6 linked regions of the Cricetulus griseus genome follow. The protein of the gene in region 5 purifies or fractionates together with the protein of the main gene of each other region. This does not show direct contact. Links are inferred from orthologs where the notes say so. Each region holds a gene or a part of one and is shown on either strand. Other genes may lie near its edges. The genes, in order: Srsf1, Srsf6, nucleophosmin, Lyar, Rrp1b and Ddx21.

Region 1 (5,127 bases), on a different chromosome or scaffold from region 5:
TTCCTGAACTATTGATTTGTATTTCAAAGTCATTTAAAATTTTGAATATACTGTGTTCCTTGCAGTTGATCTCTCCAGGGATCCAACAGCCTCTCACTTCAGGCATTTATCACCTCAGCCCCTCCCCCACTCTCATTGACCTTCATTTCTTTAGCCTGTCTTAATATTTAATGCTTTCATTTTAAGCAGCCTTACATCCTTGGAATGTTCTAAGTCAATGAGAATGTAAAGGGGCAGCAGAATGGCTCATCCAGTAAAGGTGCTTTTCAAAACCCTGACAGTTTCATATCTTGGGCTCACACGGTTGGGGGTGGGGTGAACTGACTCTCATGGGTACGCCATGGCACCAGTCACCACTCCAATGCATAATATGCACAAAATAGAAATTTAAAGACTGCTGGGTGGTGGCGGCGGCGGCGGCACATGTCTTTAATCCCAGCACTCAGAAGGCCGAGGCAGGCAGATCTTTGTGAGTTCATGGCCAGCCTGGTCTACAGATCAAGTTCCAGGACAGCCAGAGCTACACAGAAAAACCCTGTCTTGAAAAACAAAACAAAAAGAAAGGAAATTAAAAACTAAAAGTAATAGTGCAGAAAACACCCTTAAAATCGGTGGGGGTCTGATTTAGCTCATTTATTTTGAGTCAGGGTCTCTGTAGCTCTGGCTGGCCTTGAACTAAAAGGTTCTGTTTACCACAATGATGGGATTTAAAGGCGTGCCACCACCTCTGGCTATTGTTTGTTTGTTTGAGGTAGGGTTTCTGGCTTTGAAGGCTGTCCTGGAACTAGCTCGTGTAGACCAGGCTGGTCTCGAACTCAGAGATCCGCCTGCCCCTGCCTCCCAAGTGCTGGGATTAAAGGCATGCGCTTGCCTCTTCTGGCTATTTTATGTTTACTTTGAATATGAAAGGCTCTGGTTTTAGCCTGAAGAGGGCGGTCGATGTCTTTAATCCCCCAGCACCCAGGAGGCAGAGGCAGGTGGATCTGAAATCCAGGCCAGCCTGGTCTAAGGAGTGAGATCCAAGACAGTCAGGGAAAGATAGAGAAATCCTGTGTGAAAAATACAAAAATAATAACTACAAAAGGCTTTGGCTTTATTTTTCCCAATTTTTTAATTTAAAGGGTTTCCCGGGGCCGGAGAGATGGCTCAGTGACTTAGGTTCAATTCCAAGCACTCATAACTGTCTGTAATTTCAGTTCCAGGGAACCCAGTACCCATGTCAAAATATCAATGCACAAAAAATAAATTTAAAAAAAAATCTAAAGGGTTTCCCTACATGGCCCCGGCTGATCTAGAACTGTGTATCACAGACTAGCATAGAATCCTCCTGCCTCAGTTTCCGGACTGACGAAATTGAGGCCACAAGTCACCAAGTTCAGCTTGGTTTTGCTTTTATTCCAGTTCGAATTCATTAACAAGACTGAAAACCTGCATGATTTCACACATAAGGCCCTAAATTCCATTCCCGTGATTACAAAGGAGTTAAAAGTCGTAGTATCCAATATAAATATCCTGATTTCAAACAATGTGAGATGCAACCGTTGTCTCTAGTAGTTACAGTCCTCGCATCTATTTTATTATTTTTTTTCTTTCCCCATCCTTTGAAAGGAGGAAGAGAAAAAACTGAAGGCGCGGTTGGTTCGCAGAGGTGTGGAGGGTTCCTAACTGCCTACAAAACGCAGCCCACCAAAAAAACGCAGGTTCGTAGAAGCACAGGACACAGCTCCGCCCACGCTCTTAAACCAATCACCTGCAACTCCGCCGGCTCCGAAGATGCCCAGGTTTCCGGAGCAACAGCTCAGCGTCATCTGGCTCCGCCCCCCGGCGCCTTTCCCGCCAAAGGCCGTTACCGCCGCGGAGCATGGTGGGACACGGTTGTGGGCTGTTGTCACCAAATCCTTTCAAAGCGCCGAGTGGCTTTTAAAAGAGGGTTCTCTCCTGAGGGGAGACATACTATCCTTGACTCAGCCGGGACCAACAACCCCCTTTCACCAGCGTACACCGTTTTCAACCACACGTCTGGCCGCCTCGCTGAACCAGGCGTTCCACCAGCAGCAGGACGCGAGGGACTTTTTCCCCTCCGTGCGGAGGGTGACGTAGCGCGTGCGCGAGCGTGCCTCTCAGCACCCGTTACGCTCGTGCGCGTGCGTACTGGGGACGGAATAGCCGCTTCCTCTGGCTTCCCTTCCTCCCCCTCCCCCCCATATCAGTGCGCCGGGCTGATAAAGGCGCCATTTTGGACGGGCCGCGGGAGACGTGGTGCCGCTGAGGGCTCGCTCTGCCGTACGCTAGGCTTGGTGGGAAGGCCTCTTCTCGAGTCCGCGCTTTTTTTTTTTCCCTCGCCGCCATGTCAGGAGGTGGTGTGATTCGGGGCCCGGCAGGCAACAACGACTGCCGCATCTACGTGGGTAACCTACCTCCAGACATCCGAACCAAGGACATTGAGGACGTGTTTTACAAATACGGCGCTATCCGCGACATCGACCTGAAGAACCGCCGCGGGGGACCGCCCTTCGCCTTCGTTGAGTTCGAGGACCCGCGGTGAGGCAGCGTGGGGCTTGCGGCCTTGAGGAGATAGGCTGGAGTAGTTGGGGGAAGGCTCTGTCTGAGGCCTGGACATAATGGGGGGGGGAGGGAAGGAGGGGCTCCGAGGCTGGGAGCGAGGCGCTATCGCCCCTGCAGGAGTCGAGTAAAGGAGCCGAGTCGGCGTGTTGTCTCCGGTGGCTGGCCGCCTCGGACGTCCCCAGAGCCCATGCGCGGCCCGGGAGCGGGAAACTGAGGCGCCGAGGGCTGGCGTGGTGGTCGGGAGTCCGCCCGGCGTGTTTGTGGGTGGGGGAGGGGCCGCTCCTATTATGCAGCGCATGTGGGCTCCGGCGCCGTGGGTGCGCATGTGCGCCGTCCGCGGCTTCCCGAGTGGCTTGCGTGAGCCCGGCCGGCCGGCCGGCCGGCCGCTGTCCCTGGCCTCATCCCCTTTGCTTTCTGTGATCACGCAGAGACGCGGAAGATGCGGTGTACGGTCGCGACGGCTACGATTACGACGGCTACCGTCTGCGGGTAGAGTTTCCTCGAAGCGGCCGCGGCACCGGCCGAGGCGGCGGCGGGGGTGGAGGCGGCGGAGCTCCGAGAGGCCGCTATGGCCCGCCATCCAGGCGCTCTGAAAACAGAGTGGTTGTCTCTGGTGAGTTGACTCCGTGTGGGGTTTTAAGAAAATCCTTTTCCCGCGAGACTGGTTTGACAACTCCCAAGTTTTGGTGTTTGGTCTTATTTTTTGTTTTGCTTTGCTTTGCTTTTTTTTTTTTTTTTTTCCTTTTTTTTCCTTTTAAACTGCTTCGGTCTTGGGGGTGAATTTAGTAAACGAAGATTACTGTGGCGGTGATTTACCCAAATTAGGTTGCAGTGCTAGCCTATGAAGATCCTTTACAAATAAGTTTGGACTGTGGATCTCAGACTCTTACCAGCTCTTTACCTGGAAACACTTAAGTACAATCATTCAGTATTTTAAAATAATCCTTGTTCTGATGTACGTTGCACCAGTTTGATGTGGAACTGGGTGATTAGCATTAAGTAGGGGGAAATCACTTTTTCAGGACTGCCTCCGAGTGGAAGCTGGCAGGATTTAAAGGATCACATGCGTGAAGCAGGTGATGTATGTTATGCTGATGTTTACCGAGATGGCACTGGTGTCGTGGAGTTTGTACGGAAAGAAGATATGACGTATGCAGTTCGAAAACTGGATAACACTAAGTTTAGATCTCATGAGGTAGGTTATACATTTATTCTTTTATTTGGCCAGAATTGGATACAGTGTTCTTAACAGTGGAATTTGAAGGTAAGGATACAGGCAAAGGTGTCCAAGTAAATTACCAGAGACCTGGTCTGTCTGTCTTTGTATTCATTCAGCATGTCTGAAGACAGGTGAAAGCTTAGATCTTTCAATGGAAAGTTCTGTCTATCCAATAGGGAGAAACTGCCTACATCCGGGTTAAAGTTGATGGGCCCAGAAGTCCAAGTTATGGAAGATCTCGATCTCGAAGCCGTAGTCGTAGCAGAAGCCGTAGCAGAAGCAACAGCAGGAGTCGCAGTTACTCCCCAAGGAGAAGCAGAGGATCACCACGCTATTCTCCCCGTCATAGCAGATCTCGCTCTCGTACATAAGATGATTGGTGACACTTTTTGTAGAACCCATGTTGTATACAGTTTTCCTTTACTCAGTACAATCTTTTCATTTTTTTTAATTCAAGCTGTTTTGTTCAGAATGGGCTAAAGTGTTGAATTGCATTCTTGTGTAATATCCCCTTGCTCCTAACATCTACATTCCCCTCATGTCTTTGGTAAATTGTATTTTAAGTGATGTCATAGACAGGATTGTTTAAATTTAGTTAATTTCCATGCTCTTCAGACTGTGATATTGTGTAAATGTCTATTCTGCTCTGGTTTGTGTGAAATGGGATGTTGGGGGTGTTTGTGGTTATCTTACTTGGGGAAGTTCTTATGTTTATCTTGCTTTTCATGTGTCTTTCTGTAGACATATCTGAAGAGATGGATTAAGAATGCTTTGGATTAAGGATTGTGGAGCACATTTCAATCATTTTAGGATTGTCAAAAGGAGGATTGAGGAGGATCAGATCAATAATGGAGGCAATGGTATGACTCCAAGTGCTATTGTCACAGATGAAATTGGCAGTATTGACCTTATACTAAAAGACAAGGGTTAAAATTTTTATCTACCTTAAGACACTTGCAAACATCTTATGCAGTTATCTTTAGCTACAATTGCTTTCTAAACCTTGGCAATTGTGGCAGAATTGCCCATTTTGTAACAATTATTTGCTCCCTTCTCCCCCCCTTTTTGTTTTAATAGGGACTAATGTGGGAAGAATGGCTAATTTGTCACAGTGCTTAGTTACAACTGTTAATGTGTGGCCTGCTGTTGGTGTACATGTGGGTACAGGGTGTCTATTTCCAAACAGAGTATAATATCAATACTGCTAAATCTGCATGTCCTCTGTGTGACTGATAGAGCGTTGTTATTTCATTTTTTTTTAAAGACAAAATGACAGCAAAATAGAATTCCAATGTATTAGTGTAGATAATCTAGTTGGGAGTGCTTTAAGTCTCACCTTCCCT
Region 2 (4,858 bases), on a different chromosome or scaffold from region 5:
TAAAAAGCTAACATAATTGAAAATTTGGGTTCTCCCTCTAAAGCCTGCAGTATCCAAAGCTTTGAAACAGTTAATTTAAAAATAAGCAAACAAAACAGAACCCTGCAGCAGATTCTGCTGCAATATTAAAAAAAAAAAATCTAAATGAGCTTAATCTTTACAAAAGTTATTTTAGGCTCAAAGGCTACAAAATCAAAATTATCTTAATTCTACAAAGAAGGGAGAGGGGTTCATACCACCATTTTAGAACCTCATCTTTTTCTCATTAAATTTGGCCACAAATTAAACTCCTGTGTTCCCTTTCCAGGAAATCCTCTTGAAGAAGAGGCCAAGTACAAACTTGGAAGAGTAACTGCCTAAGCAAGTAGGACAGTGTCCCATTATAGTGTGCAAAGAACGCAGAGTTCAGGGTTAATCTCTGGAACTTGATCTGGACCTTGAACGAGATCTAGAACGGGACCTGGAAGCTCTTTTTGGCGGAGGGGACACAGAACGAGCCTTTGAAGGTGGAGCAGGCAGGGGTGAATGGGATCGAGACTGGCTCCGGGATCTGGATTTGGACTTTATATCTCCTTTTCCATTTTCTTTGGGGGACCGAGAACGTGACCTACTTCGGGACTTCCCATACTCATCCTTAGATCTGCTTCTTGAGTGTGAATGGGAACCCCGATCAGACTTGGGCTTAGATTTGCTCTTTGATCTGGATTTCCTGCCTTTTGAGCGGGATCGGGATCGACCTTTGCTCCGCGACCTAGATCTGTGTAAGAAAAGCCAGATTTCTTTCAGTATCTTGTCAGAAATCACATGTACTCCATCAACAGGTAAAATTAAGAAAGACCCACTACCACATTATTTACCGGGAGCGACTTTTTGAGATACTTCGAGATCTACTGCGGCTGCTCCTGCGACTCCTACTCCGTGACCTTCTTCTAGACCGTGATCTACACACAAGAGACAGTGACGTTTGAATCTCTAGAAAGAATGGGTTTGTACTACTCAGCTTTGGCTGAAGTATCTGCTTACTACAACCAAGAAACTCCGTAAGTTCAATTAAGCAACAACTGAAAACTACAAGCCATCCCAGTCCCTCATGTTACCTGGATCTACTTCCAGAGTAAGAGCGCCTATGGCTTGTTCGTGGTTTATCTTCAATAAGCCTAATATTTCTGCCATTTATTTCTGTGCCATCTAGTTTATCCAAAGCACGCTTCATGTCAGAGTAGGATCTAAATTCAATTACACCCTCATTTGTTCGTTCTTTATGAGCATCTGCATAAGTCACTTCTCCTGCTTGCCGCATGAAATCCTAAAATAATAAGACTGGTCAGTCCCAGAAATCTAGAGCATGTCTGTGCAGCACCAACTCTTAAGGAAATGACCACCCACTGTCATTTAAGGCCCAGGCACATACCTTTAAGTCTTGCCAACTGCACCGACTAGACAGATTTTCTACAATAAGCCTGTATTCTGTACGAACAGGTGGTCCATATTTGTCTCTGCCAGAAGTTCTCCGACTGCTGTATCCACCTCCACCACCTTTATCACACGGAGGGAATAATTAGATGCATTGCAATGACAGGGATGCATGTTTTTGAAAGTTAGTACAAACATAGCAACGTTTATTACTGGAGTAGGACTTTGCTATTATACTGCTAAACCCTCGATACATTTGTGATTTGCCACAAATTAAATTAAGGGCAAGTCAAATAGACTAAATCCAACTAACCCTCTCCTACAATCTGTTAGAGAGTGACTGCTCCTTTAGTCAATTTACCTCGCTAAGTTTTATTTTACAGAACATTGTAAAATATAAAACTTAACTGATTACATGCATTTCTACATTTTACAAAAATGTTTACTAGTTACACTAAGTACTTACATCACAGTGTGAGGTTTTTGGTGGTGGTTTGGCCACAAAACACGCAAGGTAACAGTCACCTAGTTCAGATTAACCAGTTTTGTCTAACCCTTGGAATCCTCACCATCACCCTGCGTCTAATGGCAAAAGGCTGCTGTCGTCATGGCTTCCGGTAAGGTCAGCCAAAGGGTCATAGGGCAAGGGTCACACAATGTATGGAAAAGCCAAGGCCAATCAGGAAAGGCAGTCATCTTAGCCTCAGTGGACACAGCCTCAGCCCCATTGGTCACTTTTAAATTGAAACATCAAGGACTTGTTAAAAAGTTTGAATTCAACATGCAACAATTTCAACATTAAACATTTCACATAACCAAAATCCCCCCAACCCCCTCCCAGTAACATGCCCCAAACCAGTTCAAATATAGCATAAAGCTAATTTAGATTTACGTTGTGGTAGTCTACCACATTTAGTTAGTTTTAAATGGCATTCTCTTTGGCCCTCGCCAAGTCTCCCCTCACCTAAGGCTTAAGCTCCAAGCTCCTCCCCTTTCCCCGCCCCCTGCCCCACCTCCACCCCAGCTTTCCTAGAAACTTCCTCGACGCTAGCTAAAGCACTGACAGAAAAAGCAAGGGGGAAATGGTACAAATACAGGCAACCCCCGCTTTCAACGTGGGCAGAGCCCAACACCAGTGCCAACGAGGGCCAACTGAAGCCACCCCTTCCAAACTCAGCCAACCAACCAGCCAGCCACCCGACCAACCCAATCCCCGCGCTCCGGTGTCCTATGGCTCCCCGAGCATGCGTGGAGGCAGAGGGGGCCCGGGAACACCCAGGGCCAACGACCCCCGGCCTCCGCGCCTGCCCGGGTCAGGGAGGTCCCGCCCTGCGCCCCCCTCCCCCGTGACCGCCCCCGCCCGGTACCCAGGACGCGGAGCGCGCGGGGGGGGAAGAACTCACTGCGGCTTCCGTAGCTGTAGCCATCGCGGTCGCGGCGCGGGCCCCGGGCGTGCTCTACGATCACGCGCTCGCCACACAGCTCCTTGCTGTTTAGCTCGTAAACGGCGTCGTCGGCGTCGCGGGAGTCCTCGAACTCCACGAAACCGTACCTGAGGAGGGGCGGAGCGCGGGCCGCGCACCGGCGGGCGTGTCGTTAGCCGGCGCTGCGCGCTCCCGCCACCTCCCCGCGCGCGCTCGGCGCCGCCGCCGCCATCTTGGAGGCCCTGCCACGCGGCGCCGCGGCCTCGGTCGACTCGGTCCTTGGGGGCTCCCTCCGCCACGGGGCGCGGACCCCCAGACCCGACTCACCCATTTTTGAGGTCGATCTCGAGGAGGCGGCCGTAGCCGCTGAAAAAGCGCTGGATGTCCTTCTCGCGGACGTTGTAGCTCAGGCGTCCTATGTAGACGCGCGGCATGGCCGTGGCGGGTGGGGTCCCGGAGGCTAGCTGAGGTGCGGCGGGCCGCGGGGCACGGCTGCGGTGCGGGTGCGGGGACGGCGAAGGCCCGAACACGCGCCTCACACCGCAGCTGCGGCCGAGTCAGCCACACAATGGTGCGCGCGCGCGCCGGCCTACGCTATAAGCGTCCGGGGCGGGGCGGGGCGGGGCGCGGCGCGTGACGTCGGCGCGCAGCACGTCCTCTCCCGCGCCGCGGCGGGCGGGCGGGCTCCCGGGCGACGGGCTTCTTGGGGGACCGCGGTCTCGCGGCCGCGATGTTCCCCGGCGCTCGGCACCCATCTCCGTACCCAGTCCAGCCGGGAGCGGGCCCTTTGACGGGTGCCTTGTCGTCAACCGCTCTCGTGCCCAAGCACGCGGAGAACGGTCCCTAGTTCTCACTGGTTCTCAGGGCTGTCCGTCAAGGCCGTTCCGGTCCCTGATTGGTGTACTGGGAAAAGAGGTTGCGCTCTCCCTTTAGCGGTTGGCTCGCGCTGGTTTCGGTGGGAACGTGCTCTCGGACTCAGTTTTCTCTGCCGCCCCATCTCTGGCCGGGAGGTCGTAGTGACCCGCCGCGGGGAAGGTGCGGTGGCGAGTCTTGAGTCTCGGTGACACCCTTCACCCCGCTCCGAATGCTGACAGCTCTGAATCCCGCGCTCACCGCGGCTGCTCACAAAGGGAGCGTGGCAAGACCCCACGCACCACCAGGCGGGTGACCCGGCGGTCCCCCAAGAACACCGAGCTCCTTTCCTACCCATGCTGTCCTTAACCCTGTTGACTAGGAAGGCACGGTGTTTATGTGGCAGAAATGCACACTTAGGAGTTTGTAGAGGTGACATCTAACGCTGTAGAGCTAGATAAACAAGACACCCCCCCACCCCCTCCGGAGTAAATTAACTTAAGTACCGCAAAAGAAAGGCTGGTTGCAGAGGTTAGGAAACTGAAAGCATAGGGTGGTGTGGTGGAAGCTGGGAGAAAAGGCTGTCACCGAGTCACTCACTACCTGCTCTTCAGGAATTTGTTTTCTGCTCTCCCAACAGGTCTTTTCAGCTAAGGTGGGAAGGAGCGATTCTGTCCTCTAGGGGCAGACAGGCAATGTTGATTGTAACGAACCGGGAGATGAGTTTGTACTAGTATCTAGTGGGGGAGAAATCGTCCTTAAAGTTAGAAATATAAAAAATGCGGGTAGACAGCTTTTTAAAAAATATTCATGGAACTAGTTAGAACGAATTCAACAAATAACATTTTTCTCTTTATCAAATTGTCAGTTTCTTTTGTCATCATCATCATTTGGTTTTTCGAGACAGGGTTTCTGTTTAGCCTTGGCTGTCCTGGAACTTGCTCTGTAGACCACGTTGGCCTCAAACTCACAGAGATGCCCCTGACTCTGCCTCCCAAGTGCTGGGATTAAAGGTGTACATCACCAGCGCCCGGCCAAATTATTTGTGGGCTGGTGAGATGAGCGAATCAGGTAAAGGCGCTTACTGCCAAGCCTGAAGACCTTCAAGAGATCTATATCGTAGGAGGAAAAAGCCAACTCCCAATAAATAAATAACAACAGCACATTAA
Region 3 (5,061 bases), on a different chromosome or scaffold from region 5:
ATGTCCCACTGAAAGAATCACAACCTAACAGGCACAAGTGTCTTCACTTTCAACCATCAATCCTTTTTGTCACTTTTAGAAACTATTGGGGCAAATCAATTTTCCTAAAACCCTTCACAGTGCAGTGTGTCAAGTTTCTAAGACCATACAAACTTATACTTACTCTTCATCGTCTTCATCATCTTCATCATCATCATCCTCATCTTCATCGATTTTTACTTTTTTCTTAAAAGAAAAATGTATTTGTGAGAAAGAGTCATTCCTTAGTATTTAACATATTGAAACCAAAAACATTTCCTAAAAAAAAAAATTACCTGTGGAACTTTGCTACCACCTCCAGGAGCAGATCGCTTGCCAGACATACTTAAGAGTTTCACATCCTCCTCATCTTCATCCTCTGACTCTGCATCTTCCTCTACAGCTGAAATAAGATACTCAGGTGTTATCTTTTTATACATTACCAGATTCCTATTTCAGCATAAGACAACTAAGAACTTTTACAAAGTCCATATTGGAGATCTAGGATGATAGCCAATCTAATTACAAGATCTTTGTGGCTAAACCTCAGTATTCAATCCCAAGGACCCAAGTAGTGGCAACAGACGTCTTCTCTAACCTGGCCAAAACACAAATATTAAAAAAAGCCAGTTCCTAATAGAAATACCAGATTTAAAAACCCAAAAACATACCTACTAGATGCTGTCCACTAATGTGCACAGGCCCTGAACCACACCTCAACCGTAACACCACAGGTGGTGTAATTTCAAAGCCACCAAGGGAAACCTAAAAATGAGCAAATTTCAATCATTAAACATTGTTTTAAGAATGTTTTGCACCAAGCATCACCAACAGAGTTATATAATCAATAAACCTATCTAGAAGCCACAGAGATAATCTCACACTAGATATAACTTATTTGAAACATCTTTGCTTATCCTAAATCAGTCTTAGAGACCAACTTTAAAAACAATGTTTACAAATGTACTTACTGTTGGTTGTACGGACATTTTCAATGTTGCCAGCGTTACTTTAATTGGACTGCCTTCATAGTTCATTGCTTCTGCCTCTACGATGTGTAATTCATCTTTTGCCCCTGCCCCTAAACTAACCTGTGAACAAAAAGAAAGATCCTTCAGTACCCAGTTGTTTTATAAACACCCCTTAAATTTTTTAATTAGCCTCTTCTCACTACTGATAACTAGTCCTCTCATATAATTACGAGATGCATAGACACAAAACACTGTATGTTCCTAAGAAAGCCAAACAACCAATAAAATATAGCCAACAGACTTAAAAAGATCACATCCTGCAGAGCCTTACTAGACAACTAATTATAACAGTGACTGTGGAAAAGACACCCAGTTCTTTGTTACCAGTACATATGTGAACTATTTTAAAGTTATAAAAATACTATTTTTCCATCAGTTAAGGAAGCACAAACTGACATAAATCCCCTCACTTAGATCCAAGTGGCTGAAATCTAATGGCTAATTAATTTCAAAGTTTAAGTACCGTTCTTAGTGACAACTGGTGTTCATTCTCATCATTATCCACCTTAAAGTGATAATCTTTGTCAGCTTTTAGTTCACAACCTGTAAAGAAAAAATAAAATAAATCTAGCAAGATGAACATCACAGTCCCAAACGACCATTAACTTCTACTCTTTTAACTTAAAAATGTTCTCTCCGTGGAATCTACTGTATAAGAAAGCCAATAAAAGTTCTACTTTTTCATAGTAACTCACGACCAATTAATGAGGCACCGTTACCATTTTTTCACAGAAAACCCAATGACCTAAAACTGGATTTTTGCATAGTGGCACCATACCATTATCTAGCACTATTTTTAAAAAACCCAACTTACCTACGTTCTAAAGGAAATTACTACAAATCAACAGTGGTTACACATGACCAGTAGGGACAGCTTAAACCCTTCATGCTTAGAGTACATTAAACATGTACTACTCATTCACGTAGGGGAAAGTGCTTTAAACACTCGGAATTTTGAAAAAATTGACTCGAGTCACTGAAAACCAAACTAATAGACTGTAAAACCGATAAGCTGAATGTGCAGTGACAGTGGGGTCCCCAGAAGCCGAGTTACCAAAGTGATCCCTTAATCTGCTAAACGCGGGAGGCACTTCTCTCTCTTCCCCGGCCCAATCAAAAAAAAAAGACCAGTTGTAGGGAAAAGGATAGTTTCGACTTAAGATTTCGTGGCCCTCTCTTAACATCAAGACCCTTCGACCATCAATATCGTCATCGGCAGCGTGGGGCTGACTCCACCTCTTGCAGAGGCACTAAAGGGTCTCTAAAAAAAAGTCACTACCATCACCGTGGATGCTACAAGATCTTAACAAAGACACGGACGCCACGCGCCACTTTACGCGTTTCCCGCCTAGCACTCCTAATTAAACCACAGGACCCGAAGGACCAGGGTTAAGAAGTGAGGAGAGCCCGGATGTAGAGCCCACACCCCCTCCCTACCCCCAACCACGTGGCAACCACGTGTTCCCAGGGGTTGCGGCCCCCTCAGCCGCAGGGAGCTTGGCCGGCCGAGTCCCTGTCAGCGGCGGAACCTCTCGGATGCACGGGGAGGAGGGGCCGAAGCCCCTGTAAAGCCCAGCGGACTGCACTTATACCGTCCCAACGAGGCGGCGCAGGCCGCGCTCCAGAGGCACCATTATCCCGGGACGCGCCTGGGGCCCAGCGCTGAATTTCAGCTGCCTGTTGCCAGGTCCTGAGGCCTTCTTCACGTATGAAGAGAAAGTGTCGTCACAGCCCCTGCTCGCGCCCCAAGCCAAGTTGGCACCCTCGGCCGACCGCCCTCTCAACGCCAGAGGCTCGAGGCTGGGCCGCTGCCGCCCCAAGCTACGGTCCCGCTCAGCGCCCGGGCCTCGGCTTTCTTCGGCTCCCGCGGCCCAGGCGGTTCCTCCCAGCCGTGCAAAGGCCTCCACCCACGCCGCGCTTGGCACACGCCAGGCCTCAACTGGACTCCCGCCGCCCCCCCAACCACCAGGCCCTGCCCAGGCCCTCCCCGCCAGGCAGTTACCGAAAAGGTAGTTCTGTGGCCTAAGAGGGCTCATGTCCATGTCCATCGAGTCTTCCATGAGGTGGAGACGCGCACTTCGGTATGCGAGATATCGGACGGAGGAAACTGCCTACTGCTCCTCAGAACAGACAAGCAGGACGGAATCACGCCAGGGAAAGGACGCGGGCTCGCCGCACGTATATATGGCCGCAGCAAATCTCGCGAGATCTGCCCTAGTCCCGCCTCCGCGAGCGTGCTCCGGATCCCCCACTTCCCGCACTGTCTCGCTCTTGCGCAAGCGCTGTCCTATCCCACGCCTCTCTACCTCCCCTCCCCACCTCTTCCAGGTGCTTGGCGGGCTCGCACTACGCACGCGCGTCCTCCCTCTGGCCCCGCCCCTCCAGCGCGGTTGCCCGAGCGCAGGCGCACTTTCCCTTTGTAACGCGCTCCAGCCCTCCGAAGCTACCACGTTTCGGCTTCTCCACGCGGGCCCTGCGCGGAGAGGCTGCGCAGCCCACCCTAAAAGATGGCGACTGCCGGCCGGGAACCAGCGGGCGACTCCCTTCGCTGTTCTTCGCCCTCCGGTTCTCGGTAGACCTGCAACAGGCATAATCTCAGGATTTGACCTCCTCGAAGGCTTGGTCTTATTTTATCCTTTTCCCATAGAGCTTCAGGAGCCAAAGGCAGGACAGACGGATCATTAGTAGAATGATTCTCTGCTTGCCACTTTGTCAGCCTTTTTTTTTTTTTTTTTTTTTTTTTTTGTGGTTTTTCCACACAGGGTTTCTCTGTAACAGCCCTGGTTGTCCTGGAACTCACAGGCTGGGTTCAAACTCCCAGGGATCCGCCTGTCTCTGCCTCCCGAGTGTTGCGATTAAAGGCATTCGTCACCACCGCCCGGCATCAGCCATACTTTTTATACCTCTTTTCTGAGGCAGCATCTCCAAAGTCTTAAGTTCTCAGCTTTACGTCATTCGAGGGCCAAAGAGCACCTTTCTAAAAGTTTAGAGGTGTGTGCAGAATTGAGAACACGCAGGTCATCCTTATCATTCCAAATGAAGGCATATGACTTCTAAGAAATACAGGAGCCTTGATTAGAATCTTTGGCTGGGAAATAGCATTTTAAACTGCGTCCCGACAAACATCCCTCAACATTGGGTGCGTACTGAGAGCAGCCCTAATCTTTTTATCTCAACATAGCTAGCAAATGAAAAGGTTACTGGGAGGAATGTGAGTAATGGTATTCATGCCCCCAGACTCTTTACTCCAGAGATGGTCCAATTGGGAAGACCAGTTGAGTATAAAACGTATGAGCAGATTATTAACCAAATCCTAAATTTGGGGGGGAAAAAATCAGCCTCAAGATGTGAATGGGGCCCAGTGAATTTCCACTTTACAACTACTAGAGTAAATCCTGAAACTTGGAAGTACTGTCTATGTAAGCAACTGAGATAAACGGGAAAAGGGAAAACCACAAGTGAGCAGTCTGGCCATTCAAAATTCGAAGGCTTCTAGTCTAGGAGGGAGAATGTTCTTAGAGCCAGGGCGGGTCAAAAAACTACTTCATTGTTTCCTAGATTCTGGATCATTTAAACACAGCACATGCAGGGGGTTGGGGAGAGAGAAAAGCCTTTAATCCCAGTACTCAGGAGGCAGAAGCAGGGAGATCTCAAATGTTCAAGGCCAGACTGGTCTACAGAGCGGGTTCTAGGACAACCAGAGCTACACAGAGAAACCCTGTCTCCAAAAACAAACAAAAGAAACACATCTAATGCAGACACTAAACTATTTGGGAGCTATCACTAATGAAAACACACTTGTTGCAACATTTCAGGCACCTTGTCTAAATATAAACTCATGGGATTGAAGGATTAGGAGTTACACAGACTCCCTGTTGGGCAGACCGATAGGGAGAGGGGCTAAGGCGAGATAATAAAGCCATCTCCAAGATGGCCAGCTTTTTCCTTAACCACCTACCTTGAGACAAAAGGCCTTGTAGGCTATTGTCTCCCACCAGCAGGCCTCCTCCTG
Region 4 (4,350 bases), on a different chromosome or scaffold from region 5:
TAGTGTCAAGGACCTCTGATTTGTGTCTAGCATATAAAATGAACCAGTGTCCAACAGTACACCACGAGGCAGAGGGATCTTTGTATACCAGGATGGACATTTCCATTTAGAGCTCAATGGAAGAAAACAGTCCTGATGTTGCTTTGGTATGACCTCACCAGCACTGCAAGGGGTGGGGTGGGGGGTTGGAATGGAGTTCATGCTTGAGAATTTACTGTAAAATCTCAGTGGTAAGGAGTTCTCACAGGAAGCAGAGAAGCAAGTCCTGTGTGTCTTGGTCCTAACCTTCATTTCATACTGAGGAAATGGGTGCTGGACTAGGCAGCTCTCGGTATTTGGGCTGAACAAAGCCCATTTTAGTAAGAACATCACTGCTCTTTTAAAGACCAGTGATTATAAAAGGCTATGTAAGCATGGAAAGTTACTGTGGCAATTGTAACACTTTAGGGATCTGTTTGCAGAGTACAGTAGCATGCATGCAATGTGAACTGGCTATGTGTGTGTAGATGCCCTCCATACTGGGTGCACATAAGGAGGCTGGCACATCTGGGTTTGGGGGTGACCATAATTGGTTCCTTTTCTTTCTTCCTGCCTGATGTACACAGACCCTAATAGAATGAGTTCATTTGTCCCTGTCCACTGAGGCCAAGGGGATGTCTTCATGTTAACATTTGTAATTCCATCATTGAGCATGTAGGAATCATTTTTAGTCTTCAGTGGAATTGTTCTTTAGCTTCTCCACTTGCTAAACTCTGCTGCTTGCCCCTTTGCTTTGTTGGTGTTGTAGTCACAGTTACAGTATGCACTGCACACCTGCACTGTGGTGCTTGTTAACACTTTGATTTTGTACATTTTATATAAGGGGGAGTGCTTGAAATCATTAGTGAAAGCTTTATCTATGCTGCTAATCTGCCAGGCTTAAAGCTTTTTATGCTCTCCTGGGCAAGTTTATGCCACTGTGGCCTCTTAGAAACCTTGACCCATGACATCCTTCCCCAGTAAGCTCATTGCAAGGGCTCAATACATTAGCTCCTGAGTATAATTCCTGGCTTGTGCTGAGCACTCAGCTGGTTCTTCTGATAATGCTCTTTTATTGTGGAATTCATGTATTGGAAGAAGTTTCTGCTTATTATAATATCTTTATCTTGTTTTGTTTTTAGGGCAAGAGTTCAAACCTGTCTCAGGTAGAATATTTAGTCATTTAACCAAAAATGGTATTTTTTACATGCAATGCATGTGGTGAATCAGTGAAGAAAATACAGGTGGAAAAGCACGTATCTGTCTGCAGAAACTGTGAATGTCTTTCTTGCATTGACTGTGGGAAAGATTTCTGGTAAGTTCTGATACTTAGATCCAGGTATAGAAGTCCAGACCCCACAAAGCTTGGGAAGATAGAGGAGCAAACTGAGGACAGAGAACAAAAAAGAAACCTTAGTGTCTGTTGACTAAACTTGGTGTGATTCTCCAGGGAGTGCCATTTCATTTTAAGGACTTGTTAAATTGAAGACCAAAGGGACAGGATCCTGTTGGTTAGAGAATTTGGGGCTAGTAACTTAGTACACACACAGTTTCAGGAACATATAGTTTATAGTTTAGTGGCAGAGCTCTTGTCTGGTATGCATGAGGCCCTAGGTTCAATTCCCAGCACCACCACCCCCCCAAAAAAGTTTTTAGAGAAAATTTAATCATTCAGAACCCTGGCTAGAATTTTGCTTCCTTTATTATCCAATGCAAGGAAGTGAGCACTCAGAATAAGGGACTTTCTGGGCGTTACAGGGCGGGGAGGTGGCACTTTGTTGTGGTTCTGTCAGATCTCATTGCTCTGAAGAAATCAACAAAAAAGCAGAATAATTAGGCTGTTTGTGCAGTTGGCCAAGTATGGAAAATCACAAAGAGTAAGCAGTGTACTCTTTGAGAGCCATTAGCACGTTGTCAGTCTAGTGATAAGACGTGGTTCCCTCTGCAGGGGTGATGACTATAAAAGCCACGTGAAGTGCATCAGTGAAAATCAGAAGTATGGAGGCAAAGACTATGAAGCCAAGACACATAAAGGTGATGCAAAGCAGCAGGCATGGATTCAGGTAAGTGTTTCTGTCCAGCCTGTCACTCATCCCACACTTCTATAAGTGCCACCTGTGCAGACAAGTCCCAGAGACAGCATACCTTGGGGTGGAGCACAAGTGTGAGAACATCTTGAGAAAGATAAAATTGTGGTTTGTTTATCTTTGGCTTCTGTGTTTTATAAATTGTGCTCAGCATATTCGTGGGTTCCTGCTAACTTTCTTTTGGCTGTAAAATGAAACTGAACCATAGAGTTTAAACCATCTGAACACATCTGAACAAAGTTAAAAGTTTCAGAAATGTAAGGAATTTTCTAGTTAAATACAATGAAAATATTTACAAAAGCAGTGAGCTCCATTTTGAAAGAAGGGGAGATTGCTGTACAGATAACATAGCACCTTTGTGGAGACTGCATTTTCTTGAAAATCAAATTAGTTCCCCCATTGAGTGCCAGAGTGTGAGTGTAAACTTGGGGTGTTGGCTCTCTTGACGGTGCATAATCCTGGCACGACCCTCATGAAGGACTTAACAGTGGCTACCCAGTTGAGAAGCTGCTGAAATCTTTAAGATGTGATAGTGCTGGCAGGGTGGCTCAGCTAGGATGCAGGTGCTGGCCACCAAGTCTGAGAACTTGAGTTTAGTCCTCAAGGACTCACCTACTACCAGAGAAGTGATTGATACAAGTTGTCCTCTAACCTCCACAAAAACACCTTTCACAGCACCCCATTGAGCCATCCTGCTGGCCCTCAATATTGTCTATCTGGTGTCATGTGTAAGAAATCATTACCAGATTAGATATTTTGAAGTTCTTTGATACATTTGGGGCTATTTTTTATGTAACATGAGGTCCAATTTAATTTCCATGTTAGGATCCACTATTCCTGGTACCATTTGTTGAAAAGGAGTCCATTTCAAGCTGGACTAGGCTTGATATCCTTGTCAAAAACCCTTTAACCATATCCTCAGGGGCTTGTTCCTGCATTTTCCAGTGGTCTTTGTGGCAGTAGTACCACACTCTTTGGATCATTGTAGCTTTGTAGTAAGTTTCCAATTAAAAAACAAAACAAAACAAAAAAACAACTTATTTCAAGATTGCTATTGTGTTTGGAGTGCCTCAGGGTTCCATGTGAATTAGTTGACATGTACAACTGGACTTTGCTATGGCTTTCAGGTTGACATCTTAATATTGTATTGCAAATGAAATTCTCCCAGTGTTCACATTTGAATTGTTTTTGTTGGTGTGTAAAAATGCAGCTTGCTTTTTAAGAATTGTGTATTCTGCAGCTCTGCTGAATGAGTTGTTAATTCTAACTGGTTGCCCCCTCTAGAGCTTTCTGCAAGCAAGACCATATTCCTTCAAATGCTGCCTGTGAATATTTGACCTGATTTTGTTCCTTCTGTTAGGAAGGCTTTGGCCAGGGCATCAGTGCTGTGTGGAATAGGAGAGTATTTGTCATTATGCATAGATGTAAATATAGAATCTTGGCTTTGAAGGTGAGAGCCCTTTGGCCAAGCCAATATGTCAGTTCATTTTCTTCTTCTTTTTTTAAATAGAAAATTAATGAATTAATAAAGAAACCCAATGTCAGCCCTAAGGTTGGAGAACTTTTGCAGCAAATCAGTGCTTTTGACAATGTTCCCAGAAAAAAGGCAAAATTTCAGGTATGGATTTAAATGCTGTTCCCAAATTGAGGTGTGGCCCATCAGTGACCTGTCAGAGGCGACAACGGCTTTCTCTTTATATCTACAGAACTGGATGAGGAACAGCCTGAAAGTGCACAGTGATGCTATTCTGGAGCAGGTGTGGAACATCTTCTCTGAAGCGTCCAGCAGTGTGAGTCCACTCTGCCTTGCAATTACAGTCTGATAGACAACTGGGAATAATGGAATGGGGTGCTGTGTATGGTGGTTGAGATGGCATTTCCAGAGAGCCTCCATGCTCTCTCTTTGATGGGCAGGAATGAGGTAGGAGCACCTGGACAGTGTGCAGGACAGCATTCAGCCTTCAGCATTCAGCATGCTGGGCAGTGGGACAAGTTTTTGTAGAATGATTGGCACAGCGGTCGGGCTGGGTAAATGGGAGTGACCCAGGATTTGATGTCTGACTGACTGGACTCCACTGTGTTTGATCAATGTACAGCACCCATGTACATCCTGTTTGGGAACTATGTTCAGTGGTTTGAAAGCAGGAGTATGCACATTATTTAGCTTAGCCTTGGATCCTCAGTGTTCTAATCGAAAACATCTGTGCTACTATACACTTCTTAGTTATTCCTTACTTATTGTAGA
Region 5 (5,059 bases):
TGAAATGTCTAAGGCTGAGAACTGTTAAGACAGACAGGGACTGCCTGCTTGGTTCTCTGCCATAATCCCTATGCCAAGAATAGTTAACCACAGTAACACATGGTGCTTCACAAATGTTTGCGGCATTTATGAGCGACTGCACCAGGACTCATGAACCACCATGAACTACAACACAGTGACCGCTTCATGACAGTAAAGACCACAGAGCTATCTATTTATGCTGCTGATAGAAGGCTATCTGTTTCAGTAAGACTAAAACATCAGATTTCCCAACAAGATGCAAGGCTGCAAAACAAATTGAGTTTGTCAACGAGATGCAAATGTGAGGCAACCCGTGCTTCTATTATGATGGGGCATAGCAGTGCCAGACACTTTGGTTTTCCGGTCCCATGATTATTAAGACACCCATTCTGCCAATTTTTATTTATTTGCAAGCACATATGTATAGGTCAGAAGTCAATCTCGGGTATTTTCCTCAACAGCTCTCTAGCTAATTTTCTGAGACAGGTTATCTCATTGAACCTTGAACTCACCAATTTGGCTAGACTGTCTAGTCATCAAGGCTACACAAGGATTTTACCTGGCTTTTATATGGATGCTCAACACCCGAACTCAAGTGCTCCTAGGCATGTGGCAAGCACATTACTGATGGAGCCATGCTACCATTACCTGCAGTTACTTTTACATGCATCTATGTACACCATGTACATCTGTAGTGACTGCAGAGGTCAGAAGAGGGTGTCGGAAGCCCTGGAACTAAAGCTATGGATGGTTAGGAGTCACCACGTAGATGCTGGGAATAGAACCCTGGTTCTCTGCAAGAAAAAACAAGTATTCAAATTTGCTAAGCCATCTTTCCAGTCCTCCCCCCCCCCCATTTTTTTTTTTCTTGAAGATCTTCTATATTCTACAAACTGGCCATGATGACGATTAGGGTAATAAGATAAGCAAATCTGGTGGGGTGGTGCTAAGCAGGAAGGATCTTGGGGTACTGGTGTGAGCCATCTGGCTTCAGGCCCTTGTGACATCTTAGTATTACTGGGCCTGTCCCCAAAGGGGTCTGAGAAGCATGCTCTTTGGCTGTCTGAGGTCCAGATGGTAGTGTTTGCTTGTCTCCTGAAGGTCCTCCTAAGGCTCCATACCAAAGCTTAAAGTGCTGGGGGAAAACATGATAGAAGCCATCAAATTCAGAAACAAAGTATCCTGTACACAGCTGAGGCAGGACCATGGAGGAGTTCAAGGTCATTCTCAGTTACATAGCTAATAGAGACCAATCCTGGCTACAGGAAATCCTGTCTCAAAACAAATAAATAGCACCCCCACCATGTACCTACTACAAAAGGGACACATATTTCATAACTCTAGAGATAACCAGGAGGCCAGGGAGATACTATTGAAAATTTCTTGGAAATGATACTGCTAGGGGAGAAGGGGTAGAATTCTTTGCTAAACAAGCAAGGGATGCAAAAGCATGGAGGTGAGAGAGAATGCTTGGTATCCTCAGCCTACAGGGTTTTATTGACTGCTAATGACTTAGAAAAGCAGGCAAGGACACCATGACTGACAGACTGTGACCTTCAGGGAGATTTGCTTTAGGAAAATGACCTGGGCTGGTTTGTGGAGAGCAGATTAAAGAAGCACAATGGAAGTCCGGCTTGGTGTCACATGCCCTTAATCCCAGAACTCAAGAGGAAGAGGCCCGCAGATCTCTGGGAGTTCGAAGCCAGCCTGGTTTCCAGGACAGCCAGGGCAGATACACAGAGAAACCCTGTGTTGAAAAACAAACAAAAGGCATAATGGAGTAAAGGAGTCAGCTTAGGGAACAGACAGTACAGAAATCTAGGTAAAGAAACCTCTGGTTAAGGCAGAGTAATCCAGGTTGTTGAGAAGGCAGGACAAACAGACAAAGTGTGTGGGTGGGTGTGGAGGATGAAGAAAAGAGTCCATGGCAATGTGGTGTGTCTGTGTGGTGAAAAAAGTAAGTATGAGCCCTAGGGGAGGATTAGCAGGAAAGAGTAGGTATTTTGGGGGAGCAGGAGTGGATCCCATTTTTGACACTGGGACAGCCAGGTTAGTACCAGGCTAGGAGCACTAATCTGAGGGGAGGGTAGCAAAAGTCCACCTGGGCTACCATGTTAGGTTTAGGAACTACCAGCACAAGTATTAAGGAAACTTGTAAACCTGAGAGTAAACCGAATTTCCTGGGGCAATCCTTAACAGAAACATTATGGGGGTGGGGAGGGATTGCAGCTGCCAAGTCGGCTCAGTAGATAATAGCATTTGGTTCATAAGCCTGTCTACCTGAATCTGACCTCTGGATTCCAGGGTGGAACGGCACACATGTAATAATTAAAAAAAAAATTATTTTAGTTTTTATTCCTCTATCAGACTTCCCACAAAAGGTTCTCTCTTCCTTTTTTAGAGATAAGATCTTACTTGTCCTGTGGCCATGTCTGCCTTCAGCCTCCCAAGTGCAGGAATTAATGGTGTGAGCTACCACATGGGGCAGATTTCAATTAAAGAAAACTTTCTTAGATTTGTTTTAGGTGTATGTGCACCACGTGCATGCCTGGTGTCAGCAGAGGTCAGAAGGGGGCGACTCCTCTCCACTGGTTGTGAGCTGCCATGTGGGTACTGGGACTCAAACCGCTGAGCCATTTTTCCAGTTCCCCATATTTCAATTTTAAGCAGATGTCTGGCTGCAACCTGAAACCTCCACAGCACGCTGCAGTCCAGACTCTGGATCGCTTAAGTAAAAATCTTGCAAAGCACTCCACGGCAGTTTAAAATCCAAAGGAGAAAGCCAGTGATCTGGTCACATTGCCTCCAGGCTCAACTTCATCTCAACACGCCCCGCGCGCCAACTTTTGGGTTTCTCTGGCCTAGGGCACCCTTAGCTCTTTCCTGCGTCTGCCTGGCTGGCTTCCTCCTTTCAAAGCCTCACAGTGCACAAGAGGCTTCCTTTGGAGAGACTTTCTCCTGCACTTTTCCACACTACTGGCATAACACACATCCTCCACCGCCACAGGTCCTGCCACCACACTGCCAGAGTTCCTCCGGGGCTGGAACACAGCCTCAACTCTCTCCCGCACACCAGCGCCTGCAGGCGCTGTGCAAGGGAAGCAAACGAGAAACGCAACCGGGCCTCGGCGAGCTGGGCTAGTGCTGAGCTTGGACCCGGAGCTCCCGCCGCAGCAGCCGCACAGCCCGCGGCAGCCGCACCCGCACCCACAGGCGCGACCCTCGCCGAGCGCAGCGACGCGGACCCCGGCCCGCACCTGTGTCGCTCTGCGTCCTCGCGCTGAGATACTGCCGCAGCTTCCTCACTGCGCGGTCGCGGACACCCTTCTCGCTGGAGGCCAGCCGCTGGGCGAACTGGAGCTCGGCCGACTGCATGGCGGGAGCCATCGCGCCCGCTCCAGCATCCCCGGGGGCCGCGCGCGTGCGGCTCGCCCGCCGAGCAGGCTGTATACTGCGCCTGCGCACGGGCCGCGGCGCGCGGGGTGATGGCGTCAGAGGCGCGCCCGCTGTGCCGCGCCCGGCGAGCCCGCGTGGCCGTGGCGCGAGTAGACGCTGCCGCCGCGTCCTGCCTAAGTACGTCCTGGGGGGGCGGTGGGTGGTCCGAGTTCAGTGCGGTTGGCGTCGGGGTTAGCTGGGGTCGGATTTCCTCCAGGAAGACGCCTACGGCTGGATTGACGCGGTCTCGAGTCTAAGCGCAGCTGACAAGGCTGGGTCCGGGGGGGAAACGGCGCTGCAACGGCCCCCGCTCACCCGGTGTCTGCAGAACTCGGCGGGCTCTCCTGGGTGGAAGTGAGACCCAGAGGAAAGGGCGTCATCCAGGCTGCCCGGGTCTGATGACTACCCGGGGCCGCGCTCCCCCGCCTCCACTTCCCCTCAGCGTAATGCCTGGATGCAGGCGCAGCGTTGGTTAGAGCGAATGGTCGCCTCCCGTCGGTGCCCGCGACAGACAGGGGCAGGGGTGGCGAGGAGACCTTGCCGTGTTCTGGGACAGGTGCGGGGCTTGGCGAGGAAGAACAGCCCATCCCTGCAGCATCAAGGGCACATACAGGGGTGTGGCGTGGAGACAGCGATCCATTCCTGGGACAGTTCAGGGGGTATGGAGTGGCAAGAGAGCAAAGCGTCTTGGGGCAATTGCAGGCTTGTTAAATGGGGAGTTGCCAAAATCCAAAGCCAGAGCGTCTGGGTTAGGTGCAGGGATGTCCCCCCTCGCCCCCCCACACACAATAGAGGGGAATGACCTGTCCTGGCAGCAAGCAGGGGGAAGATTTGGGAATCTAACGGGCCCGGAGGGAACTTGACTCTGTCCTTAAGTCATGCAAAACACACAGTTCTGAGCCGTGGTGTCTTGGGGTCTCTATTGCTACAGTGAAACACCATGACTAAAATGCAAGTTGCAGAGGAAAGGGTTTATTTGGCTTACACTTCCATATTATTGTTCATCGAAGGAAGTCAGGACAAGAACTCAAACAAGGCAGGAAACTGGAGGTAGGAGCTGATGTAGAGGGCATGGAAGGGGTGCTGCGTACTGGATTGCTCACCATGGTTTGGCTAGCCTGCAGGACCACCAGTCCAGGGATAGGACCACCCACAATAGGCTGGGTCCTCCCCCATCAATCACTAATTAAGAAAATGCCTTATAGCCCGCTGGTGATGGCAGATGCAGGAGGATCTCTGTGAGTCCGAGGCCAGCCTGCTCTACAGAGTGAGTTCAAGGAGAGCCAGGGCTACACAGAGAAATCCTGTTTTGAAAACAACAACAACAAAATCCCTTACAGGTCTGCCTACAGCCTGATTTTATGGAGACATTTTCTTAATTTCTTATTATTTTTTTAATTTGTTTTTTCAAGACAGGATCTATCTGTGTAGCCCTGGATGTCCTGGAACTTTCTCTGTAGACCAGGCTGGCCTCGAACCTGGAGACCCACCTGCCTCTGCCTCCCAAGTGCTGGGAGACATATTCTTAATTGAGGGTCCCTCCTCTCAGATGACGTTAGCTTGTGTCAAGTGGACATAAAACCACTCAGCACAAGTGGGAACA
Region 6 (4,350 bases), about 14 Mb from region 5:
ATGCAAACCCCTGTCCTTCCAGCTCTGCCTGTCCGCCCCGAACGGTGAATGTAGGACTCCACATCCTATGAAAACCAAGCACAGGAGTGATATAACTAAGATTAAGGAGTGTGTGCAGGTCAGTGAATGAAACTATGAGCTTCAAAACCTCTCAAACAGTGCTCACTAGCCTGTGTGCAAATATTCCAAGGGTATGTGTATTTCCAAGCTTCAAGTGACTATAATAAAAGTATTAAAATTTGTTTTAATAACAGTTTATTTAACTCTATACATTCAAGTATTTTTTTAAAAATTTGTTAATAAGGTAGATTGTTTCTATTTACAACAAAAAGACATGGGACCAGCCTAAATGTCCAACAGACTAATGGATAAGGAAAATGTATATGGACATAATGAATTTTACCATATCACAAAAAATTCAATGATAAATTTTGCAGTCAATTGGAAAGAACCAACTTGGAAGACAAACACTGAATATTCTTTCTTATATGCAGAGAGTAACTTCTTTATCTATCTATCTATCTATCTATCTATCTATCTATCTATCTATCTATCCATCATCCACCCACCCACACCGACCTATCCAAACTGTGTGTAGAATTCAGAAAATCAGAAATGGCCCCCAAGAGGAAAAAAGGATTTATTCACTGAAAGGAGTGGGGAGGCTGCTAGAACACATGATTATGAGGGTGGAGGTGGGGGGAGCACTGAGGGCGGGAAGCAGAGATGGGGCAGACATCTAAACAAAATCCCTGAGTCATACATAAACGGTAACAACAGGTTAGCATACTCTCTTCTGCAAGCCTTCAAAATCCAAAGTACATAATAAAAATCCAAGCAAGGTAGCAAATGTTTGCCCCGAAATTCTCTATATAGAACTCAAAAGCTATCAAACAGAATTCTGGAATGAAAGGTGTATGTCACCAAGACTGACAAACAATGTACTGAAAACTACATAAAAGTCAAGCCAATGAAGCAACTTTTGGTACCCCAAAAAAAACAAAAGCAATGTTTTATTCCTGTTTAGGGAAAAACACACACACAAAAAAACCTTACCTTTGGTGGACAGCTTTGAACAACCAAGTCAACCTCAGGGATGTCTAAGCCACGTGCAGCAACATTGGTTGCAACCAAAACCCCGAAACTGCCATTTCGGAAACCTTTCAGGGTGATTTCTCTTTGCTTCTGTGGAATGTCACCATGTAATGACTGGGCATCCTGCCAAAGACATAAACTGACCTAAGAATACAAACCCAACACAGCACCCTCCAAGAGGCCCAAGAGCTAAGTCTGGATTCTCCTTCTGGAAGTAATACAAAGTGAAAAACTGATGCCTTCTTACTCGGGAAAATCTTCAAACTGTCTGCAGCCCTCAGCCTGATGTCAACTGTTTATAACTACACTCTTCAAGGTTGGAAATACCACCCAAGAGTTAAGTGATGTACATGTAGCTTTACATCGAACCAGGACTGATTTATTACATACACCCTGACCATTAGAGAAGCTTCCCCTAATTGAACACAACTGGGAAGTCACCGGGTGACTGAAAACAGAATGAAAGCAAACATGTCCAAGGTGGACATGAGAAGGACCAACCTGCTTTATGCATGTATTCTGTGACAGCTCCTGGGCTTCTCTCTTGGTTTCACAAAAGATGATAGTACGCCCTTGATGACCACTGTACACTCTGATCACATCCCCAATAACGGCTGCCCTCTCACTCCAGTGACACTTAATGGCCAAGTGCTTTGAAGAGAAGAAACGGGATTTAGAAAAGTCTGGCTGGGATCTCCCAGCTCCCTTCTCAACTTAAGTCTAATGCCGTGGAACAAGAAGTAAATGCAGGCCTTACAGGGCTGTCTGCTGCCACCACTGCTTAGAGGGAAAGAAGGAAGCTAAATAAACAAAAGTAAAGAGCAACGTGGTCTGTCCCCAGGCCTCTTTCTCCAAAGAGCATCTGGAGTCTTTACGTTCTAATGCAATCAGGAAACACTATTTCCCAGGCTCCTGCAGGAAACCAAATAACTGACAAGAAAGGCCTGTGTGTGCTATGCCCCTTCATCCACTTAAAAAACATACTGCTCTTGGGTGAAATGATGATGAGTCAGATTGCTCTGCTGCCCTCTAGAGGCTAAATTCTAAATGTAATCACTTTATCTAATTCAAACATAAGGTTTCAAGTTAACTCTAAATCAGGCTACTAGATGGTGAAATCCAGAAAGCAGATACCATACATAAAAGAGAAAGATGCATTTTACTTGGCTCTTCTTAAGGGATTACTTAGTATTCACCTAAAAAAAAAGAGCTTGTATTTTAGCTAGTCTTAAAACTATCAGACAGGAAACAAAATGCTCAGCAATTTAATACTACTACTTCCGGCAACTAAATGAATCATTACCTCCACAGTTATGGCTGCTTTCTGAGTCTTTTTACCAATCAGGTCCACCTGTTCGTATGTAGATTTCATGTATTTCTTAGCAACATTAAACACCCAATGAGGGCAAGTTGCAGAGAAAAGCAATGTTTGGGGGTTGTCTTCAGAATCTTGGGGGAAAAAGAAGTCAGCGTGAATAATCCAAACAAACCTGCAAACACAGTACTCCACCTCACCTGGCATCTCCAGACCACACCACCATCACCACCAACCACTGGTGACCAGCCAGCCTATACATCAAAGACACTATTAAAGATGCTAACACCTCCCAATACACAAAACCTGAAATAATTTGTCATCGTAAAGGATCTCTAAATGATCAAAGTACATGAAATCAATCTATTTTGTTTTCTAGCCTTTGCCATCCATCCCTTACCCACACAGGAAATCTGTCCCATGAAGGAGGCTCAACAACTGAATAAGCAATCCTGAAGTCCAGGTACCCAACAGCATGGATCTCTAATTAAACAGCCTCTGACAAAACCCACAGCAGCTTAGTATTTTAAGAATCCAGAATCAGAGGTTGGAGAGATGGCTCAGGTTAGGAGCACTGGCTGCTCTTCCAAAAGTCCTGAGTCAAATTCCCAGCAACCACATGGTAGCTCACAACCATTTGTAATGAGATTTGGCACCCACTTCTAGCATGCAGGCATACATTAACAGGCAGTACAATATATAAATAATAAATAAATCTTAAAAAAGAATCCAGAATCCAGGGCTGGGGTGCAATCCAGTGACAAAGCCTTCAGCTCAATCCTAAGTATCCCCAACAGACAAAGGCAATGCATCAATGTATCTGATCATCTGGGCTTAGCAGCACTATGGTGTTGTTCTCAGGAGCACCAAAGGGCACAAGCTGGTAGAAGCAGTTCAGTGCCCTGTACAACTGGATCAGTTAGCTCTACTTATGGAGGGAGACTTGCATCACAGAACCAATTCCAAGTACTACAGAGCTCCAGCCGCTTAAATCCTCTGTAAGCAGAATCCTCTATATGAAATAAAGGTGAAAAGTGGAAGATGGAAGAATAAATCATGCCCAATCACCTGACAAGGTTTGAATATTTAACGGTTGATTTATGATTAGTACACACACACCCGAAATACACTGAAAGCTGTTTGAACAGTGAGTGTATCAAGCTGGCAGAAAAAGAAAATTTTCTTCTCCCAAGCTTTCACCAATTATAGAACGCGTGCTGGCTTTAAAATTTTCAAGTCTTTGCCGAATGTTGGTGCACAACTTTAATCCCAGCACTTGGGAGGCAGAGGCAGGCAGATCTCAGTGAGTTCAAGGACAGCCTCGTCTACAAATCGAGTTCCAGAACAATGAGGGCTACATAGAGAAACCCTTGAAAAACAAAAATAAAAAACAAAACAAAACAAACAAACAAACAAAAAACAAACTAAGCTTCCTTGAGTAAGTGCCCTATTTATCTCCTGGAAGACAATTTCACTACACCCTACCTTAGGTTCCTTCTATCAGTCCCTAAATTTGAGGCTTACCTTTCTTGTATGCCACACATAAGATTTCTTCGACTTGATCGGCAAAACCCATATCCAACATCTGGTCAACTTCATCCAGGACAACATGTTTAAGTTTGGTGAGATCTAGCTTGCCATTCTGCAGGTGGTCTTTAATACGACCTGGGGTCCCAACCAGTATATCAATCCCACTCCGTATGCAGTCGACTATAAAAAATTCCAGTAAAAAGAGTTTCCTTGTTTTAAAATTCCTTTTATCTGCACGGAGTATCCATTTAAATACATTTTTATTCTAAACCAGACAGCTATAAAGTAACATACAACACTGAAGGTAAGTCCACTCCAGTGGGAGAGCACATGAAAAATGAGAGCCAGCATACTAACATAATAGGAAAATGATCCACTAGGAAATAGTAGCACAAGAAATGACTTTCTGG

Evidence for each region.
Region 1: the proteins of Rrp1b (region 5) and Srsf1 purify together in Homo sapiens (co-immunoprecipitation; 3 studies listed by BioGRID and IntAct, with this or other methods). This does not show direct contact. The link is inferred for Cricetulus griseus from reciprocal best matches to the Homo sapiens genes RRP1B and SRSF1.
Region 2: the proteins of Rrp1b (region 5) and Srsf6 purify together in Homo sapiens (affinity purification with mass spectrometry; 3 studies listed by BioGRID and IntAct, with this or other methods). This does not show direct contact. The link is inferred for Cricetulus griseus from reciprocal best matches to the Homo sapiens genes RRP1B and SRSF6.
Region 3: the proteins of Rrp1b (region 5) and nucleophosmin purify together in Homo sapiens (co-immunoprecipitation; 3 studies listed by BioGRID and IntAct, with this or other methods). This does not show direct contact. The link is inferred for Cricetulus griseus from reciprocal best matches to the Homo sapiens genes RRP1B and NPM1.
Region 4: the proteins of Rrp1b (region 5) and Lyar purify together in Homo sapiens (co-immunoprecipitation; 3 studies listed by IntAct, with this or other methods). This does not show direct contact. The link is inferred for Cricetulus griseus from reciprocal best matches to the Homo sapiens genes RRP1B and LYAR.
Region 6: the proteins of Rrp1b (region 5) and Ddx21 purify together in Homo sapiens (affinity purification with mass spectrometry; 3 studies listed by BioGRID and IntAct, with this or other methods). This does not show direct contact. The link is inferred for Cricetulus griseus from reciprocal best matches to the Homo sapiens genes RRP1B and DDX21.

The regions. Positions count from the first base shown.
Region 1 is NC_048600.1:101,232,828-101,237,954, forward strand, and holds the start of Srsf1 (serine/arginine-rich splicing factor 1), read left to right. Parts: upstream 1-1,878; 5' UTR 1,879-2,347; coding exon 2,348-2,541; intron 2,542-2,993; coding exon 2,994-3,178; intron 3,179-3,587; coding exon 3,588-3,760; intron 3,761-3,960; coding exon 3,961-4,155; 3' UTR 4,156-5,127. UniProt on the Homo sapiens protein: Plays a role in preventing exon skipping, ensuring the accuracy of splicing and regulating alternative splicing.
Region 2 is NC_048599.1:16,581,955-16,586,812, forward strand, and holds the start of Srsf6 (serine/arginine-rich splicing factor 6), read right to left. Parts: upstream 3,416-4,858; 5' UTR 3,272-3,415; coding exon 3,165-3,271; intron 2,966-3,164; coding exon 2,817-2,965; intron 1,537-2,816; coding exon 1,412-1,536; intron 1,307-1,411; coding exon 1,098-1,306; intron 942-1,097; coding exon 858-941; intron 758-857; coding exon 412-757; 3' UTR 1-411. UniProt on the Homo sapiens protein: Plays a role in constitutive splicing and modulates the selection of alternative splice sites. Plays a role in the alternative splicing of MAPT/Tau exon 10. Binds to alternative exons of TNC pre-mRNA and promotes the expression of alternatively spliced TNC.
Region 3 is NC_048600.1:48,346,040-48,351,100, forward strand, and holds the start of nucleophosmin, read right to left. Parts: upstream 3,226-5,061; 5' UTR 3,110-3,225; coding exon 3,052-3,109; intron 1,593-3,051; coding exon 1,513-1,592; intron 1,110-1,512; coding exon 990-1,109; intron 784-989; coding exon 690-783; intron 422-689; coding exon 315-421; intron 226-314; coding exon 164-225; intron 1-163. UniProt on the Homo sapiens protein: Involved in diverse cellular processes such as ribosome biogenesis, centrosome duplication, protein chaperoning, histone assembly, cell proliferation, and regulation of tumor suppressors p53/TP53 and ARF.
Region 4 is NW_023276807.1:107,176,290-107,180,639, forward strand, and holds part of Lyar (cell growth-regulating nucleolar protein), read left to right. Parts: intron 1-1,160; 5' UTR 1,161-1,211; coding exon 1,212-1,333; intron 1,334-1,966; coding exon 1,967-2,081; intron 2,082-3,615; coding exon 3,616-3,723; intron 3,724-3,811; coding exon 3,812-3,895; intron 3,896-4,350. UniProt on the Homo sapiens protein: Plays a role in the maintenance of the appropriate processing of 47S/45S pre-rRNA to 32S/30S pre-rRNAs and their subsequent processing to produce 18S and 28S rRNAs. Also acts at the level of transcription regulation.
Region 5 is NW_023276806.1:260,330,715-260,335,773, reverse strand, and holds the start of Rrp1b (ribosomal RNA processing protein 1 homolog B), read right to left. Parts: upstream 3,473-5,059; 5' UTR 3,409-3,472; coding exon 3,279-3,408; intron 1,739-3,278; exon of another isoform or gene 1,606-1,738; intron 816-1,605; exon of another isoform or gene 692-815; coding exon of another isoform or gene 670-691; intron 1-669. UniProt on the Homo sapiens protein: Positively regulates DNA damage-induced apoptosis by acting as a transcriptional coactivator of proapoptotic target genes of the transcriptional activator E2F1.
Region 6 is NW_023276806.1:274,611,562-274,615,911, reverse strand, and holds part of Ddx21 (nucleolar RNA helicase 2), read right to left. Parts: intron 4,121-4,350; coding exon 3,935-4,120; intron 2,545-3,934; coding exon 2,399-2,544; intron 1,747-2,398; coding exon 1,597-1,746; intron 1,219-1,596; coding exon 1,057-1,218; intron 66-1,056; coding exon 1-65.